Struthio camelus: one gene and its partner. The protein of the gene in region 1 interacts with the protein of each later gene in a biochemical or structural test. Links are inferred from orthologs where the notes say so. Each region holds a gene or a part of one and is shown on either strand. Other genes may lie near its edges.

The links.
Region 2: the proteins of ITK (region 1) and LCP2 form a complex in vitro, tested with the Homo sapiens proteins (2 studies listed by BioGRID, with this or other methods). The link is inferred for Struthio camelus from reciprocal best matches to the Homo sapiens genes ITK and LCP2.

The regions. Positions count from the first base shown.
Region 1 is NC_090954.1:11,275,189-11,286,924, reverse strand, and holds the start of ITK (tyrosine-protein kinase ITK/TSK), read left to right. Parts: upstream 1-7,153; 5' UTR 7,154-7,220; coding exon 7,221-7,391; intron 7,392-11,736. UniProt on the Homo sapiens protein: Tyrosine kinase that plays an essential role in regulation of the adaptive immune response. Regulates the development, function and differentiation of conventional T-cells and nonconventional NKT-cells.
Region 2 is NC_090954.1:19,269,984-19,278,852, reverse strand, and holds the start of LCP2 (lymphocyte cytosolic protein 2), read left to right. Parts: upstream 1-4,000; 5' UTR 4,001-4,238; coding exon 4,239-4,316; intron 4,317-6,068; exon of another isoform or gene 6,069-6,259; intron 6,260-7,366; coding exon 7,367-7,429; intron 7,430-8,869. UniProt on the Homo sapiens protein: Adapter protein primarily involved in signaling pathways within T-cells, as well as other immune cells such as platelets, mast cells, and natural killer (NK) cells.

The DNA of each region.
Region 1 (11,736 bases):
CTTGCAGTCTTTCTTCAGAGGAGAGATGCTCCAGCCCTCTAATCATCTTGGTAGCCCTCCGCTGGACTCTCTCCAGGAGTGCCATGTCTCTCTTGTAGTGGGGAGCCCAGAAGTGGACACGGTACTCCAGGTGAGGCCTCCCCAGGGCTGAGGAGAGGGGCAGGATCACCTCCCTCGACCTGCTGGCAACACTCTGCCTCATGCAACCCAGGAGACCCTTGGCCTTCTTGGCCACAAGGGCACACTGCTGGCTCATGCTTAACTTGTTGTCCACCAGCACTCCCAGGTCCCTCTCTGCAGAGCTGCTTTCCAGCAGGTCAACCCCCAGCCTGTACTGGTGCAGGGGATTATTCCTGCCTAGGTGCAGGACCTTGCACTTGCCTTTGTTGAACTTCCTGAGGTTCCTCTCCCCCCAGCTCTCCAGCCTGTCCAGGTCCCCCTGAATGGCAGCACAGCCTTCTGGTGTGTTAGCCACTCCCCCCAGTTTAGTATCATCAGCAAACTTGCTGAGGGTGCACTCTGTGCCTTCATCCAGGTCATTGATGAATATATTGAACAAGACTGGGCCCAGGACTGAGCCCTGGGGGACACCGCTAGCCACAGGCCTCCAACTTGACTCTGCGCCATTCACCACAACCCTGTGAGCTCGGCCATCCAGCCAGTTCTCAATCCACCTCACTGTCCACTCGTCTAGCCCACACTTCCTGAGCTTACCTAGGAGGATGTGATGGGAGACAGTGTCAAAAGCCTTGCTGAAGTCCAGAAAGACAACATCCACTGCTCTGCCCTCATCTACCCAGCCAGTCATTCTGTCATAGAAGGCTGTCAGATTGGTCAAGCATGATTTCCCTTTGGTGAATCCATGCTGACTCCTCCTGATCACCTTCTTGTCCTCCAGATGCTTAGTGAGGACCTCCAGGACGAGCTGTTCCATCACCTTTCCAGGGATGGAGGTGAGGCTGACAGGCTTGTAGTTTCCTGGCTCCTCCTTCTTGCCCTTTTTGAAGACTGGCGTGACATTGGCTTTCTTCCAGTCCTCAGGCACCTCTCCTGATTGCCATGACCTTTCAAAGATGATGGAGAGTGGCCTAGCGATAACATCCGCCAGCTCCCTCAGCACTCGTGGGTGCATCCCATCGGGGCCCATGGATTTATGGATGTCAAGTTTGGACAAAAGATCTCTAACCTGATCCTCCTCCACCAAGGGAGAGTCTTCCTTTCTCCAGCCTTCCTCTCTTGTCCCCAGGGTCTGGAATTCCTGAGGACTGGCCTTAGCAGTGAAGACTGAAGCAAAGGCAGCATTCAGTAACTCTGCCTTCTCTATATCCTTTGTTACCAGGGCACCCGCCCCATTCAGCAGCGGGCTCACATTTTCCCTAGTCTTCCTTCTGCTATTGATGTATTTGAAGAACCCCTTCTTGTTGTCCTTGACATCCCTTGCCAGATTTAATTCCAACTGGGCCTTAGCCTTCCTTGTTGCATCCCTGCACACTCTGACAACGTCTCTATATTCCTCCCAAGTGGCCTGTCCCCTTTTCCACATTCTGTGTACTTCCTTATTCTATTGAAGTTTTGCCAGGAGTTCCTTGCTCAGCCATGCAGGTCTCCTGCCCGCTTTGCTCGACTTCTTAGTCAGAGGGATGCACCGATCTTGAGCCTGGAGGAGGTGATGCTTGAATATTAACCAGCTTTCTTGGACCCCTCTTCCTTCTAGGGCCCTACCCCATGAGATTCCCCTAAGTAGGTCCCTGAAGAGGCCAAAGTTAGCTCTCCTGAAGTCCAGCGTTGCAATCCTACTCATTGCCCTGCTCCCTCCTCGTAGGATCCTGAACTCCACCATCTCATGGTCACTGCAGCCAAGGCTGCCCCCAACCTTCACATCTCCAACCAGACCTTCTTTGTTCGTTAGTACAAGGTCTAGCAATGCACCTCTCCTCGTTGGCGTCTCCACCACCTGGGTCAAGAAATTATCAATGGTTTGCAGGAACCTCTTGGACTGTTTGTGCCTAGCTGTGCTGTCTTGCCAACAGATGTCAGGGTGGTTGAAGTCTCCCATGAGAACCAGGGCCTGTGATCGTGAGGCTACTTCCAGCTGTCTGTAGAAGGCCTCATCGATGACTTCCTCCTGGTCAGGTGGCCTGTAGTAAACCCCCACAACAGTGTCACCCATGTTAGCCTGCCCTTTAATCCTTACCCATAGGCTCTCAACTTGCTCTTCATCCACCCCGAGGCAGAGCTCCATACATTCTAGTTGCTCCCTCACATAAAGAGCAACTCCACCACCTCGCCTGCCTGGCCTGTCTTTCCTAAAAAGCACATAGCCATCCATGACAGCACTGCAGTCATGTGAACTATCCCACCATGTCTCTGTCACTGCAATGAGATCATGGCCCTGCGACCGCACACAGATCTCTAACTCTTCCTGCTTATTCCCCATGCTGCGTGCATTGGTATGCAGGCATTCCAGAGAGCCAGTCAAGCACGCAGGCTTCCCAGGAGAGGTGCAAGAGGATCCTCCATGGCCATGTTCCATGCTTTCTCCCCTGGCTGTCTGCACCCGCTGGAGGCATCCTGACTTGAGCGGTGTTTTAGTGACTCCCCTGCCACTATACCACTCCCCTTCCCCCATCTTGCCTAGTTTAAAGCCCTCCGTACCAGGCTGGCCAACCTGTTGGCAAAGACGCGCGTGCCCCGCTTGGTAAGGTGGATCCCATCACTCCCCATCAGCTGTTGATCTTCAAACAGGGTCCCATGGTCATAGAAACCAAAGCCCTGTTGCCAACACCAGCGGCGCAGCCAGTTGTTAACTTGGAAAATTCGTCTACTCCTCCTCCCGTCCTTTCCCCTCACAGGCAAGATTGAGGAGAAAACGACCTGGGCTCCCAGACCCTTCACCACCCTTCCCAGAGCTATGAAGTCCCGTTTGATGGTTTCCAATTTGCCTTTTGTTCTTGTTAGCATGGAAGATCAGCAGAGGGTAGTAGTCCGATGCGTGGACAAGCCTTGGCAGTCTTTCCATGACATGTCTTCTTTGAGCCTCTGGCAGGCAGCAAACCTCTCTGGACAAGAGGTCGGGTCGGCAGAGAGGTGCCTCTGTCCCCTGCAGCAGGGAGTCACCCACAACAATCACTGGCCGCTTCTTCCGGGTGTTCCTGCACGGCACAGGGTCTGTGAGGTCAGTTGCCTCCCTTGGAGCCATGCCCAGCTCCTCCTCAGCTTGGAGGGCGCTAAGCTTGTTCTTCAAGGGTAAATCTTGAGGAGGAGCAGGAGCATTTCTCCTTCTACGAGAGGTCACCAGCTTCCAGCCCTCTTCAACAGCGTTATGATGCAGCTTTACACACGGTACAGAGCCCTCCAACAACTCCGCTGCAGTGTGGGGTGAGGACTCCTGGAGCTGCACAGTCTCCGAGAATACCCTGTCAATCTCCCGCTCATCTTCTCGGATGCTACGCAGCCTACTGACTTCCTCCCGTAACTCCTTTATCTGGTGATGCAACTGGTCAACCACAGCACACCTCATGCAGGAGAGCTGACTGTCAGCCCAGGCCTCACGGAGAGGCCCCAGGCACTCCCTGCAGCCTGACACCTGCAGAGCTGCATCTGCTGTCAGAGGGTCTGTCTGGGTTGAAGCCTCAGACACAGCTGATGCAGCACCTCCAACAGCCGCTGGGGAACGTGCTCTGCGGCATGTCATGACCATGCCCGGGGAAGGACACACCACTGTGCAAAATGGAGAGGTGCCTTCTTTGCCTTCTGGCACCCTTCTGCGCGAACTGCTGCGCAAACTACTGTGTCTGTTCACTGCCTCTGTTGGCTGCGCTCATGTCTTCATGAAAGAAGACCAATTCATGTCTTGAAAGCAACAAAGAATTATATTACAAAATTAAGAACACACAATGATCTTTGAAATAAATTCCATTCAAATACACATAAGCAGGTTACTTAATCATAAATGTTTAATTAAATATAAGTACAATTCTTGAAGCATTTGCTTCTTTATATGCATGTCAGCGTGGCCTTATAATTATTAGACTTACAAAGTATTCATCCTCTGTTCTTGGCCGGCTGTATTCAAATATTTGCATGCTTAGTACACATATTTATTGGGATTAAAATGGAAAAAGTAGCATGAATGTATAGATCTGTGGTAAGAGTAGATGCAAAAATACACCAGTCGCTACTTTCCTCCTTGATTCAACATGTCAAGAGTTGTCAGTTATATCTTAGCTGGACAATCATCAGCTTGAATTCACCATGGAAAACTCAGAATAGCTAATCTCACCTTCTAAATCCTGCTAGTTACGATATAACTATCTATGAGGCTAAAATTTGTGATTATTTTCTTACAACTTTCTGCCTTTATTCCTACATGTGTGTTGTATCAAATCTGTGAAATTTCTTTGTCAGCAGCTCAGCCTGTCCAGTTCTTCCATGCCCAGAGCCAAATCACTTGTTTGGTCCTTGATTCTGTCTTGCCTTGACTCTTGCAATGTCTTCCTCTCAGACCTCCTACAGTGCATCACATCGTACCATGTTTGCATCATACCAAGTGTAGTTGCCAGGCTCCAGGTCTAAACATTTGATCAAATGCCTCCCCTCTTCATATCTTTCCACTAACTCCTTATCTCTTATCGCATGAAGAAATCAAGCTGCCTTTCACTACTTTCAAAGAATTACTTAGCTCGCCCCCTCAACATCCCACCCTTACTGAATCTCTCTTCTCCCCCCACATCCTGTCTCCAGCAGCAGTGCTCCCCTCAAAGGCCTGCTTCTGGGTTTTTCACCTCTTCGCTGTCCTGTAGGCCTTGCTTTTTTTGCAGAGGTGCAATGTCACACCCTTAAATTTCTCTTTATGTTCAATTTTCTGAAAAGACAACGTGAAAATCTCAGCCAACAGATTGTGAACCTCCTTGGTATAAGCAACTAAGACTTTTCAGAAAGTCTTTTTGCAGTCAATGCAAAAAACAGAATAGAAAGAATAGCGCAGTCCTAAGTGTCCATAGCTAAAAATGCAATAGCATTAGAAACAATGAAGCTAGTTACAAGTGAAATCTATTGTCTTTTTTTGGATTCCCTGCTGCTAGCACAATGAAGTCCCATGGAGTTAATGTATGCGGGCACTCTACTCTCTGTGTTTCAGTTTTGTAGTTACAATAAGAGAATCTTGGAGCATAATTTAAACCAGTAAATTCTCAAGCATGAGAATAATTATGTGCACACAAAAGTGGGCCTAAGGAAGTTCTGGAAGAATAAGAACAGTAGTTATTTACAGAGAGCACAATTTTAGAACACTCACAGTGGATGCTGAATTTGCCATACATGTGCATTGCATGAGGCGTGTGTGTGTTTTGTAGAAGGATTTGGCAATTTGGCCCAAGAGTTTATCCTAGTCTTCAAATAGATATGAAATCCCCCTTGGCAGTGGTGACAGTTTTTCAGGAGATCACAGACTTACGTCATTTTTCTTGTTCAACCACAAGGGTTCCTTGGAACTCAGTCACACTACCAAGAAATGAAACATAGCTTCTCTAGTCTTGCATGCAGTGTTTCAGTATACACTGCATTTCTTCTTCTGCAAGACCACCACGTAGAGATAAATACAGGGATCAACTGCACAACAGCTTCTGTTTCTCCCTGTTCTGTGGTTTGGATTGCTTTAGCAAGTTCTCTTTCAGAACTGCAGAGAAAACACTAACTTTAAATTGTATTCTTATGGCAAATATAGGTTCTTGATAGCATTAAGCAAGATATATAAGGAACGTTTGACAATCCCTGGGGTATTTTGTCTGAGCAAATGCTCAGTATAACATGAAACAGCAAGGAAGGGATATGCTTACCTGTTTCTCCATATATTCTATTGAGAAATACTGTTCCCAAGTTTGTGCCCAAGAACTGGCCTACAAAATCTAAGTCTTCATTTAAACAGAGTTTGCCAGTCTTATATTTATTTAGATTTTTTCCTCAAGAACTGAATTTAAAACAATGAAGTATCTTCTTTGAAACTTGAAAACAACTCTAAAAATACATCAGAAAGAGGGAGCTATCTCCTTGTATCCTAATGTTGTGTTAGGATCAAATGGGATCTTGCAAAAAGCCAGCACTGGCAAATGATGTAGAGTGGAGTAATTTTCAGAAATACCTGATTAATGATAATACTTATCTGGCATCTCACTCATTCCACCAGACTCCATGTCTCCAAGCCCCAATAGCATCAACACTACAGTTATACATCACTGATAAAATAATGCACAAAATATTAAAAATGCAAGAACAGAGGAAAATCTATTGCATTTGTTTTAAAACAAATGGTTTTTTTACTGAGTTTTTTTAAAATATTTAAAATATTTACATGTTTTAAAATTCTAAAATTAAGCTGCTGCAGGCTGTCCAGAATGGTGCAGTGAAGTCCTGAGGAAACGTATTGCACTTATTTTGGTATTTCTGCTCACTTTGCTGCTGATGACAGGGATCTTGATTACACAGAGTGTATGTTGTGCCTGTGTTTCTCGCAGCATTCAGCTCTGGACTAATTAGAGTGCCTATGAAGCAGACAGCAATCAGTAAACAGTAACTGATAATAACTAATTAGTTATCAGTTATTATAACTGTTTGCTATCAGATTAAATATCTAACAACTGTAAGTATTTATCCTTCCTTGTAAAAATATATAATGGATATGATTTTTTATATGGGTAGTAGGTTTAATTGCTTTGAACTGCCTTTTTGCCTTTGCTTACATATTAGGAACTTTCATGTTATGTAAGAAATTTCCTCAAAATACTTTTTTTCGTAAAAAAAACAAAAAAGGATGTGTGACCTACTTCTAAGAGGACAGGAAAGACACTTCTCCTATACATTCAAGTTCAGTGTATGCATTTATAACTGTATTTACTGGATGGACAAGTAGGAGACAGATGCTTAATCATGCCACACCTCTTTATTAATCCTTGATCATTGACTCACATCTGTTGAATGTCGCTGAAGTGTTATTTTTTCCACAACATTTACCTTAGAGGATATTTCAGCATGTGCTGTTCGGTTTATGACTTCAGAGAGGATGTGGTTATGGTTTGACAGAAAGGAAGCCTGCTGTAGATGGGAAGATAAAGCTCAAAGCACCTACGCTGCCTTATGAACACCTTTTTTGTTAAAAAAATTAACTGTCTTCCTTCTTGTTTCTCTGTCTTGGACGGGTGCTCAGCGCGTAGGGCAGGCATCCCATGTCCTGGGAGAGGACTGTTCTTGGCTCAGCAATGAATAACTGTGTGCTCCTGGAGGAACAGCTCATCAAAAAATCCCAGCAGAAGAGAAGGACGTCTCCCTCCAACTTCAAAGTGCGCTTCTTTGTCTTAACCCAGTCCAAGTTGGCTTACTATGAACATCGCCATGGGGTATGTCAGCCATTTTCTCTCACATAATACAGCAATGGAAGGAAGGATGAACTCTCCGTTAAGCATTATCAACTTCGTATTTCTAGTCCTTATTACAGCACCATTTGCTGAAAATTGCAAAGTGGTCAAACTGGTCATTCAAAACTACTGGTCAATGGGCATCTGGTGTGAATGGGGGAATAAGACTACCTAGCTGTTTTACAGAAAAGATCTAGTTTTGTTGTAGGAATTTACAGTGGGCTGTCACAACCGATATATGTAACAGCCGAGTGGGTCTGCGCCTGGCTGTTTGCGTTGGTACAGGAGTGACCTGCAGCGGCACATTGCAGCGATCACAAGTGTTCTGCGCTATGTACCCTAATTACATCTGGGAAAAAAAATCAGCCCCTGTCTTTACTCTCTCATCTTTCTTTAGGGTAACAAACTGGTGGCTGCTAGGTCTTACATTTTTAGATAAATTCAGCTGCCATGCTTAACAGGTCTAGCCTTTGGATTTAGCTTAAAAAGGAATGTGATGATGAGATACATGCTCAGACTAGTCATTTTTTCAGCTTTCATTTCTCTGATTTGCTAAATATGAAGAAAATTAGAAGCCAGTCTGCACACCCCATTGTGCTAGCTATGCTAGTGAAGTAAGAATTATTCCCCTCTTCCTATATTTAGCTGGATGTTTTCTGGGCCTCATTAGACAGTTGTAAATCATACAGCTTGTTTTCCAATAATTGCTGAATATGCGATTAATCCATTATGTTTAAGTGATGTTACCTTACACAAGCAAGTACTGGGGACCGTGTTGCCTTGCTGTCTGGCTTTGGCAACTTGAGATCATCAGACATTGCTCACAGACATAGAAAATTAATTTAAAACTGAAACCAACAAGGAAAGCAAATTACGATGAGCCCTTGTATCATATCATTGCCCAGTTGAGGTTGGATACCTGTCTTAAGGGTTAATAGTCATTATTACTTGCAAGTTACTTCTCTCAAATATGTTCAGCAAATGTTTTACTTGCTTTTATTTTATAGATGGTGCTTTTCCATACCTCCATATTTAAATAGGAAAACATTTATTGCTGCCTTGTTTTTCTGTATTTAGTTTCAGACTCTCTGTGGCTGCTATCCAGACTATCTTTCAGATGTTATTATTTTAAGATTTTGGATTCTAACCATTCTACTCGATTATGCTGGGTAAAATTTTCAAAAACATCTAAGTGATTCAGCTGTACGTATTTAGAGGAATCTTAATACCTAGGGTTTTTTGGTACTTTCTGAATCCTGATGGATTTGAGAGGAATTCAGCATTTATCCTGCCTAAGTACTTTTGCGGAATTGCACAGGTGTCTGCCTGCATTTTTAGACACATAAGTAGTTTGGAAAATCTGACTTAGTGACTTTCAGTGGGGCTTAGATTTCATATGTTACATGAGCATCTTGGGAAATGTTATCCCCTAGCCTTCCTGAATGTCAAGTAGGCCATTGTGGGATATATTCAGACTGCCCCAACACAAATATTTAAAAAGCTTGCAAAGGCACATTGGTACACTACACATTCAAAATCTGAATTCATGGTGAACGACAGCTGGCAAATACCTTTTTATTTACTTATTTATTTATTTATGTAGGTTAGGAACTTAGGAACTTCTGAAAATTTGATGTCCAAAATCAGACCATAGAGGACCAGATCTTTAAGTGATTTAAAATGCTGTAAGTCCAGAGGCATCAAAATAGATCTATGCAAAGTTGGACCAGATGAGGACTTGGTGCACTATCTACTCTATCTCATATGTTATCTGTTATAAACTTACACGCATTACATATGTATAGACATACATATGTATGAACACACTAATATGACTTTAGGCACATACAAACATTTGAGTGACTGTGGGTATGTCTATAACTTCAGGGCCGATGTTCCATGAAACATTGATTTTGTGTTGATACAAACTATCAAAATCAGGTCATTACATTAACAGAAGAACTTAGTACCAAATGTGGAAAGAGTATTTGCGCTTTTACATGCTCCCAGAACCAGTCCTCAGGCTCTTCAGTGTATTTCCCACAAAACAGATCATCCTGGTCAGGCCTCCATGCAGTCTGGTCATCCCTGTTCTGGAGAGGAAAGCTTAAGGCAGGCCGTGGAATCGCTGTCGTGTCTCATGCTAAGAACTGAGTGAATCCTGAGCAACCATGTTCACAGCCTTGCGGCCCGTGACGGGAAAATGATTGTATTTGCCTGACACGCTGGCTATGTCCATCCTAGCAAACCAAACAGGACCAGGGAGCATTTGCAGGCATAGAAATTAATGGTGTGTACCAGGACTCTTCCAGCACAGGCCCTGGCACAGTTTTGGCTCTGCTCAGACAATTCGTGGGGACGGCAGGCATTAGCATAGACCATGGGCCGTTGTCAGTAGACCATCTGCTTGTGGCCACCTCACTCAGGAGGCGAGGGGGCCAAGCAGCATGGCATCGGCTGCTCTGTGCTCGCTGGCCTCAGTGACTCAGGCTCGCTCGCTGCACTGTATAGAGGGGGCCAGCAAGTGCTGGGCTTTTAAAGTATGCGGGTTCCAAGGACAATCTCTGTGGATGTTTGCTACAAGAGATTTTGGAGAGCTTCTTTAAGAACCCCTTACCAACATGTCTAGTTGATTACTGTACTTGGAGTTCAGTATTGCACGGTATCCACCTCTCTGGTCCCAGGTGAGTCAGTAACAACAGCCTATACATAAATTCAGATAAAAGAATTTGCTAACTGCTTAACAGTTTGCAGAGTCCCGTAGATTTCAGTGGAGTGGCTTAAAGTAAAGCATATGCTCATGTGCTAAGCACAGGCTACTGTATTTTGACTGTATTGAGAACACAGTGATAACAGGGTTTGGCATCCAGTCCCTTTCTCTGAATTTTGACAATATGGGTATGAAAGGATCTTTAAGAGTTTGAGTGTAGCAGTCCAAAGCAAGAAAATAAACAGGCCAAAGTAAAATACTGGATAATTCTCTAAATAATATCAAAAGCTAACTGGACTACTGGCATCATAAAGGCAAATTTTTGCAATAACTGTAATATCATTTTCCGTTTTAACAGCACGTAGCTGGAGAGAAAGCTCTTTTCGCGTCATGAGCCAAGCACACAATAGCCATTAATGCTAATGAAAGATATTTACATATCTCATTAGGAGAATGAATCCCCAATAAGTGACAACAATAAGAAGCTATGTTTTCTGGAATTCATTACACGGTGCACAATGCAGGGCTGTCTTAGCATAAAGCACGTGTGTTCAGCCCCTGTCTCTACTAAAATACATCAGAAGTGCCTTTATAATAACATGCAAATCACTTCCATGAGCTTCTAGGGTCTAATTTTACAGCTACTGTGCACATGAGTAAATGAGCACATGGGAGTGATCATTTTAACTATTTCAGTGAGTTTGATCCTCATCAGAATAACCTGTAATGCAGACACTTATGCGATACTCCCAGAGTCCCAGCACCTATTTGCATTACTGCAAAAGCAGCAGGCAAGTGACTCCCTTTGGCAGGGATCTCTGGGGCAGGCTTTCAAATGTACTTACTTGGCCATAGCAAAAATGCCTGAACTGGTCAGTTACCTAAGTCCTGTTGGCCTAATGGCTTACGATCTATAGTAAATCCTCCAAACTAGCAGACAGGAGAGTAAAAAGAGATAATTTGCAGGTCAGAATCTAAGCAGAGGTTCATGCATGGTCTTTGCATGTCACATACGCCACATCTACCAGGATGAGGACAGACAGAAATGAGCCTCTCTGCTTGAAATTCAAGCTGGCTGTCATCTGAAAGTGGCACAGATATGGGAGGCTGATGCCACACTTCAGTAACTGGGCTGCTGTCCTTCAGGATGGTGCCACACTAATGCAGCTGTGCAGCTGGGTTGGAGCTGCTCGTTCTGGGGCTGCTCTGAGCTATGGCGAGTGCTTGGATCTGTCTGTACCAGCCAAGGAGAGGTACTCCATGTCCCCGTGCCATGGGTTGTCCCTTCGGAAATAGACCTCTTATAATGCCTTGCCCTACAGGGGCATTCTAAAAAGATGTATTTAAGGACTGGGAAGTTATACCAAACACCTGGGAAGTTCAGGCACCTACGTATTTTTTAGCTTCATGCAGTGATGGACTCTTACTAGTCTAGTTTTCAAAGAAAGCGATGAAGGAAACACAGAAAAAAGGAGTGAGTTTCCTCTTCATTTATATCCGCACTATTCTTCCTACACTGGTTAGATGCTCAAGAGGTAAAGTAGCATGAGTAAGCCTTGTCCTGGGCTCCTTCACTCAGATCTTTGACATTCGGATATAAAGATGGCACTTCAGTGT
Region 2 (8,869 bases), about 8.0 Mb from region 1:
TAAAATAGTGGTCCCTACTCACTGGTGTTCTCTGCGGGCTAGCCGCTAGGTGGTGAGGCAGGTTTGTAATTAGAATCCAGCCAAAGAGGTTTTTGTTAACTTTTGAAAAACTTGGTTCTGCATCTTCTATTACTGCACAGACATTGCAAAATGAAGGTTAACATTTGACTGCAAGATTGAAGGGAATAATGGATAAGGACATTTAAGGAGTGGCAAGTGTGGCTTAGTGATTATTAAAGACAGTAAGGAATATACAACATTACTAGGAAGATATTTAAATGGCATAAAAATGAAAACATTCTTACCATGTTGTATAGGCATGTATACAACTCGGAATGAGAGGATGCAATGATAAAAGAAAACGTAGGTTGGCAATAATAAATAGTCCCAAGATGAAAAGAAAAAAATTATTGCCTGAGACTTTGAAAAACAATACTGGCCAGGACTACAGAAAAACATGTCATCGAAATCCACTTTGCTTTGGGCTGGAGATGAACATGAAGACCACATTCATATGAAATTTGAACTTTTTTTGCTTGGCTCTAGAAAAATTGACCTGGCAACTGTTTATTTTTTGCAGAAAAATAAACCACTCTGAAAGCTGTTCTAAGTAAGCCCTTGATTCCACTTTGAGCAGGGTGCTAGGGGACAGAAGAGATGAGAGGACATGGAAAGTACTGAGGCCCTCTGAACACAGCAGAATGTGGGCAACGTGAATTTCCCTCCTACTTTACCTGAAAGGGCTAGGCTCTCAGATTTCAAATACTGCTTAGCAGACCATTGCTACATCTGAAAAAACTGTTCCGCTGGCAGCTGTTATTAGAAGAGGCATATTTCTTTATGCCAAGGTTGTGTCACTGCAGGTATTGACTTTAAAAGACCTAATTCTTTCAAAAGGGAAAAAAAGGTCACAGTGAAATAGGTATGAAACTGGTAACAGTTGTAACATGAACGTTCTCCTCAGAATTTGGAAATCTAGGAGAAATTTGGAAATCTGAATCTAAATCCATTTCATGGAAGATTGCCATCTGATGTCTATAACAAATTCTATTACAGAAGAGATGTGTATTGTCCTGCAAACTCATTCTGTCTTCACTTCCGTCCTCACTTGCAACATAAGATGGGACTACTAAGATCTAAAAGCATGTGATCATTCCCTCTCATGAAAAACACAATAGCAGGATCTAAGCAGAAAGTGAGGATTGCCACCTCTGAAATGTTTTCAGTTAACAATCGAATTCCTGTATGTAGCTTGTCAAACTTGGCTTTCTTCTACAAGAGCTCTCTGTGGCCTTGTATGTTGGTTGTGGTTCACCCAACCACCCTGCAGTCATTCCGTCTTCCTCCATAAAAATTGGATGTTATTGCTTCCCTAACATCCTTCTTTACCCTCCTACCCAAATCTGACTAGAGATTAGACATGGGCTTTCCTAAACTTGGACATTCAACTTTTTCAATTTCCCCTCTTGGCAGCCATTACAGTGTTGGGAGTTCCCTCTCTATGAGCAGAAGACGCTGCAGCAACAGGGGCACTGCGAGAAAGTGCTGATTCTAGATGCAATAACTGTGGCTCTGAAGAGAGAGAGAGAAGCAATAAACAAGTGGGGAAATGCCAGAAAAGTGAACATGGGAAAAACTGAAAGAGAAAGGCAATTATGTCCTTTTCTTTTTTCCAGGACCAAGATCTCCCTTTGTTGAATATAGATTTGCCAAATTACATTTCTGGGCCACAAAGAAAGACATTTAAAGCATTTTTCATAACAACAACTCTATGCAGTTCAGTTGGGATTGGAGGATGTGACTCACGTGTGGTTATCTGTGAGCTGAGTAACATTTTCCGCACTAAAATACATACATAGGTTAGCGATGCAATTCAAAATTGTTACACTAATGTAGCAGTATAGCTAAAAATTCAAATGCAGAAAACTCAAAGTTATGTTTTCTCAGCAACCCTGACACGGCCACCACATCCTATGCCTTTATCAAATTACAAAAAAAATGGTTCTAGACAAAGAGAAAGCTCAAGTCAGTGTGAGCTGGGATTTTGTAAAACGCATGCAATAAGCATGTACCTACAAAATATTTACAGTGACTCACAACATAAAACAAAAGATCATCCATCATGGGATCCAAGCAAATAATAATGATGACTTCAATGTGTTAAGACTTTCTGTGTTAGTGGCTCTCTAAAATAGTAGATAGACTTTAAAGGTGACCGACTTTCTCTTTGAACATATAACAATGTCAGACTAAACTTTAATTTAGCTAATAATTTTTATATTACTGTAAGTAAAGAATAATACCATTGAAATTGGAGTTGTTACATTAGATTTACCTTGGGATAGAAATTTGATTCCAGAGCCACGTGGAATGTACTGAAAAACTGTAATTGCACGAACAGTCAGAAATTACAGCATGGTCTTCTTCACGTGTCTGTACTGGAAGAAACCGTTTCTTTGTTGAAAGACCTCATGGTGCCCGGTGGGGAGTTAGAGATAGATGTCATGTAACCTCCTCTTTACTGCTGCTGCTGATACACCATCAAAACAACTTTTCCTTTGGGGTTCCTTTGTCACATGTTCATTTAGTCTTATTTCCTCCTTAGACCTAGATTTAAAATGAAGAGGTGATGATGTTTCTGCGATACTGTCAGTATATGCTTCCGATGGTTTATACAGGCCAGTGCAAATAAGAACCAATAAAACTTAGCTCTACCATGTATTTGCTAAGTTCTATGCTGTGTTTAGAACAGCTGTTACAGCAGTTTAGTTTTAGAGAATTTTAAATACCTTGCTGCCATCATTTCCCAAAATGTTTCTCTAAAAAAGCAAGCTACATTAAATCAAATGAAGACTATACATTTCAAAAGGAAAATTCTCATGCATAATACTACAGAGACTGCTATCTCAACTAGAGCTGTATGCAATAAACTTGTGAATTTGCGGCCCAATGTCAGAAGGTCTTCAATGACTAGAAAGAGCAAGAGTGAGGCATTTCATTAGAAAGAAGAGAAACTTTCCTTTCCAGTGCTTCAGAACTATGATCTATTCTTTCTAATATAGAAAGTTCACAAAATACCACCTTCTGTCCTCTCCACTGGAGCAGATGCGGACCGTGACCCCAAGCATGCACACCAGTACAACCTGGGGAGGAAGCTCCATATCAAGAAAAGTGAGAATGAACACGCCAGGTCTTTTTAAAAAAACAGGTGACTTTTGAATTACTCGATGTACTCTCACCAAAGGGTCTCACTGAATGGATGGTGCAGGAATTGGCTATACATGACAGATGCTGTTTGTCAGGTACCTGCGGTAATATTATGGTTCTGTGGATTCTTTTTCAGACATATAACAATGCTCATTAGAGGCAGCTAAGAAATGGAGCTAGAGGGAGAAAGAATGGCAATATAGTCATTTTTTATACGTTTGTCTTTTAATTTCACTGAGAGATAGTCATCACCCTAAATTTGAAAGACTGAACAAATGATGACTGTATTCACACTCCTAAATCATTCATACCTTCTTATGTTCAACGTCAACAAGAACCTTTTATTTTCTGTATGTAATATAAAGTAGCATACTGCTATGCACATATGATTTGATCAAATCCACAGACATAATGGAGAGCCTGCTAATTAGAATTTGCATATGAGTTTGAGAAACCTATCGCATGAATTGTATTAGATTATAATATAGAAAGCCAATGTGACACTCCAGGCAGGGAGATAGGGTGAAGAAGTTTCTCTTAAGTAAACTTTTCTGTGTTTTCAGAGACTGCCTGGGCAAGACTGGCACAGAAGCAGAGATCAGTGCAGCAGAGATCAGTGCAGTACCAGTATTTTTATACTGGATATAGTATAGAAATATGCCAAGACGTGCTCTGATGTAATTACAAGCAAATAGAGTCCATAGGAGCTTACTTATATGCAGCAAGCAGAGCATTTTCAACAGGTTGCTGTGCTTCCTTGTTTACTTATTTATATATACAGACAAAGGAAGTGGTAAGGCTGACTAGCTGACAACTTTTCTGAGAAGAGACCATTTTGTATTAGAGGAAGCAGTAGCTCTCTTGGATGTGCTAACAACGTGATTCTGAAATAAAAAGTCTGCTAAAGAGAAGGAGCTGGGCATTTATTTATACGTGCTGGAGGTGATCACACACAGGGAATACATGGCAATTTCATTGACACTACTGGCATGAACATTCTCTAGCTGCCTGAAAGAGAAAACTTACTTACAATGGATTTGAGAAACATTCCCTATCGTTCAGACGTGGTTACCTGGAACCCGGATGACTTAGCAGAATATTTTAAGACGGTGAGTTTAACTGTGTTTTGTCTTTGTATGACAGAGGAGCAAACTACTGCGAAATGTTTATGCTAAAGATAGATTTTTTTTAACAGAAAAAGTTTGTTGCAAAAATAAAACCAAAAACCACCACCAATTAAGAAACTGAGCTAAACTTGGTAGTAAAACCTATAAATGAATCTTGAAAGTGTATTTTAAATTAACTGTAAGAGAAACTGATGGCTTTGCAGAGCAAATGCACACACTACTATAACAATTGTTGATAAAACATAGATGAAGGCTGTAAAATACATTAATGTGTAAAGATTACAAGCTTTCTAGGTCTTCTTCAATGATTTTCAGAAGTGAGATTTTTCAAATTGCTCGATGTTCACAAATGAGATTCTGAATGTCTTTGCTAATCAAGGCATCCATATGAACTCAGCCAGGAACTCAGCAGATGTGGATACAAGAACTCCTGCGGGTTTTTTAGGGTCAGTGTGAAAACCTTTTGCCTTGTGGTTCTAGTTTCCTACTTGAAAACTTCCTGGATGAAACTCATGGGTCATTTCCTCACTTCTCCCCTGTTTATGAGAGAGCTTTTCATCAAGGTTACTAGCCACCCCTTTTCTCCCCTCACTGTTACTTTTTCTGAAATTACCTTGTGTGGTCAGCTAAGGACTTCTGCTTCTTTTAACATACCTTTCACTGGTGAACAGTTCTAAATTTCATTTTACAAGGTGGAGGATTTTCCACAGTTAAGAAATACTTTCAAAGGTAATATGGCAATTCAGTGTTAATCTTCTACATAGCAATGCTGACACCATTGTAATTGCTCAGGAATGTGTAACTGACTCAATTTTACTGAAATTTCATTTCTATATGTTCTCTGCAAATTCATCGTTTTTCAATTCACATAAGAGAGAGTGCCTTGTCTATCTCCCTTGCTGCAGAATATGTTCCTCCTCAAATCCAAAACTGTCAGCTTGGAATTTAACATTCAGATCAATCAAAAGATTTGGGAACATTTTCAAGCAATGTGAGCATACATGTGTTCATTTTCAAGTGAGCTATCAGACTAGTCTTGGGGGGAAAAAAAAAACAGGGTCACTTCAGGGTTTGCCACTGAAATCATGCAAAATTCATGGTTTCAACAGTTTTCGTAGTTTTCTTTGGGGAGTTGGGGCAAGTTTGAAACTAGAATGCAAAACTAGGCAACAAACAGATCAAACAAAAAAATCAGTATTTGCAAAATCTCCAGAGAAGTGAAACTGCCAGCTATCTGCAAACCTTTAATTCCAGGCACAGTGGTTAGCAGCACAGTACAGTGGAACAAAGAAGCAGAGATAGAGCAGATGAGCTTATTACCAACAACCAATTGCAGATGAATAAGGAAGACATTACAGCATTGGTGCATGGTGGTTTGGATCACCATTTCCAAGAGACTAACAAAAGAAATGGCTTCCTGAAAGAGCTGCTAATGATTTTCTTAGCAGCAATACAAGGATCAACTCTAAGTTCTATCATAATTGGTACACGGGTTTTTGAGTACCTCCCCTTTATTGATGCACAGACACCCTCCAGGATAGAGGTAATGTTAGCATTCCTCTTTTGGACAGGAGAATCAGGGCCAAGAAAAGCTACTCAAAGTCTTATAGGAAATCTGTCAGACAATGATGTCAACCTAAGTTAGACAAGTCCGGGCTAAGTGACCAGATCCTTCTCCCCAAATTAACCCATACCATTTCCCTCACACATAGATTAAAGGGTCCAGTACTATACCTTAACAATGTTTTATTTTCATCTGACTGATGTATTTTGCCTTGGAAGTATCCTGCAGCCCCATGTTCAGGACTTCAGTTCCAAGAGGGATGAGCAAATCTTTTCCTGCTGCACTGAGATAATTGAGGGATGATTTTCAAAGGAGGGATGATTTTCAATCAATCAGTCACATTCAAGTCCACCATCACCTAACAAAGCGATCATGTGGTCATGTCACAGGGCAGTGGAAGTTAAGACCTTTGTCAATTCTGGTTAGCAGTTGCTCGTTGCTGCTGTCAGGATTGTGCTGGCGATACTGTGATGGTATTCACTATATGAAAGAGTTATTATTTATAGGTTTAAATCTTCAGTCAGCACAAGTTTTAATATGCATTTGAAAATGTTTAGCAGAGTTAGGTCTGTTTCTGTATATGAGTAACTGAAGGTGGCTCCCATAAACTCTCAGCTGTTCAAATGTTTCTAGGATCTGGTCTCAAACAACAACTAGTTACAAGATTTAATTGTACTCCTTAAAATTGACTAGAATAAAAAAAAAAAAGAAGAAGAAAGGACATAATGTTCCCTTTAAGACTCCCAGCAGTACAAGATCTGTTAGCTGTATAACTTTTGACTAGCTAAAGCCCCAGACGAGGCTGTAGACATTCTTTTATTTTGAGAATAAAAAGTTCTCCCAGAAGTCACTTTGCCTACTCTTTGGGTTCCTTCTGCCATGGACTTACCTACTTGAAACAGAAGAAATGCCTTCTAGCCATTATATTTAATGTATTTAATCCCTTAGAGATCTAAAAGATAAGCTGTTTTCTTACATGATGTTATTTCAGTTCAAATCTAAAACTTAACGCACCCACTGGAAATAGTTAAAAGTCATGTACTTCCAAACGTGGCTATTTTATTTTATTTCTGTGAGTCCCTCAATTTACATTTAAATTTTATCCGAATAGAACCAGGAACTTTCTTGTTCCTAAATATGTGAAAATACACTGAAGGATCTTTGTCTTAACAATCCATGTTTACGGACCAAAATGAACCATTTAGACAGTCCAGCAGGGTATGGAAAAACATGAGGTTATAGCATCTAAGTGGGGGTCATGAACTGTAGATCTATCTGTTTTTATGAGTTTATCCCAAGGAAGATTAAAAAGTATATTGTTCACTAATGTGATCCCCACGACAGACAAGACACAGTAGGCTCTCGCATACACGAGGCTAATTTGAAGCACCTACTCAAAGTTAGCCATGTGGATGAGTGCCTTAGTCCATTCTTAAGTGTGCAATAATCATCTTCCTTTCTTTGGCAGCTAAAGTACAAGGATTGTGAGAAAGTCGTAAGAAAGCACAGTATAAACGGACAAAGGTTTTTGGTAAGTAGAGTTGTAAAATTCTTTAAATCAGGTCATTGTTCTGACCCTTACTTTGGATCAGCATTTCGCTTCTAGATAGTTAATAAGGTCTAAATATCTGGATATAGATAGAATATGGAATGCTGGGAACCCAAGAATGTTGTTCAATATGTATGTATTTTAGTATCTTTTAAATGGACAGGGAAGCTATAAAGCCATAATATTGCCTTGAATTAATAATCTCTTTCTTTATAGGAAATGCTTGTTTTCAAATATTAACTAGAAAAACCTCACATTTATCAATTCTGTTCTCCTACCAAAGAAGAGGCGGACAAGGCCAGAACAAGCGGCCTTCTGCCGAAGTCACTATGACATGCCTCTAGAGTTAAAATAAGTTCTTCTGCAGCAACACACAAGCAATAAACTGTAACTGCATCAAAAATAGTAAGCAAGTTCCCATTGAATTTAAATCAACATTGCTATAGGGAAGCTAATATGCATGGTCCATGCTGTACCAGTGACCTGGCTTAACTTTAGAAAAGCTGACAATTTCCATTTATACAGCTGCTGTTTTCAGGTCTTAGGTATACATCCATAAAGATGTGTAAAGGTTTTTATCATTATTTCATTTTTTTATTTCTATTTTTTTTCCAAATTTATTATTCCAAAAAGTCCACATTTTGATCAGCTGTCCAATTAGTCACAGCAGATAAATTGATGCACATTTCTTTTACAGCCCTCTTATCTTTTATTCACTTGTCCTAATGTATCAAGTTTTTTGACATTTCTTAGAAATGTAGCATTAAACTTTTTCACCATCTCTAGTAGGCACAGGATTACCACCCTCCCCAGTCGGTGGAGTCAGAATGATTCAGTATGTCACAGGATTTATTGCACTAACCACTAAGAGATTCTCCTTAACTCAAGCACTGAGAATCTGCGGCTGGAGTGGGACTTCTGGCTCTGGAAACATTATGAAAGCCTGGAAGCGTGTGAGGTGCAAATGACAATAGCAATAGCTGTGCAATTCCTAAGTGATTTTGAATTTCTCTATTGTTTCCAGGGTGTTTCTATAAATACTTAGCTTAGAGTGCAGCATTTCTTCAGAAACATCCTAGCAGATTCAAAGGATGCTTTTCTGTTAAGTAGGTAGCTGCTCAAGTCTGCTGAGACAGTTGTTTTTAAGCTTTCGAATTACTTGACAATTGTATAACACAAAAAAGGTTCACTCATGCCATAGAGCAATAGGAGAATTTAAATGCAATATTTCAGAGTGCAATGCAATCTTGAAAAAATAATTGTTTCTCTATACGATTGACATTTCTGAGAAACATCTTTTGCCATCTTTAAGCGACTGGAAACTGCCAAATTACATTTGGACTTGAACGGTTAAGATTTGAGTGTTTGCAAGTTTTATATCCACTGTTAGATCGACACAGTGAACCTAACTGCAAAAATAGT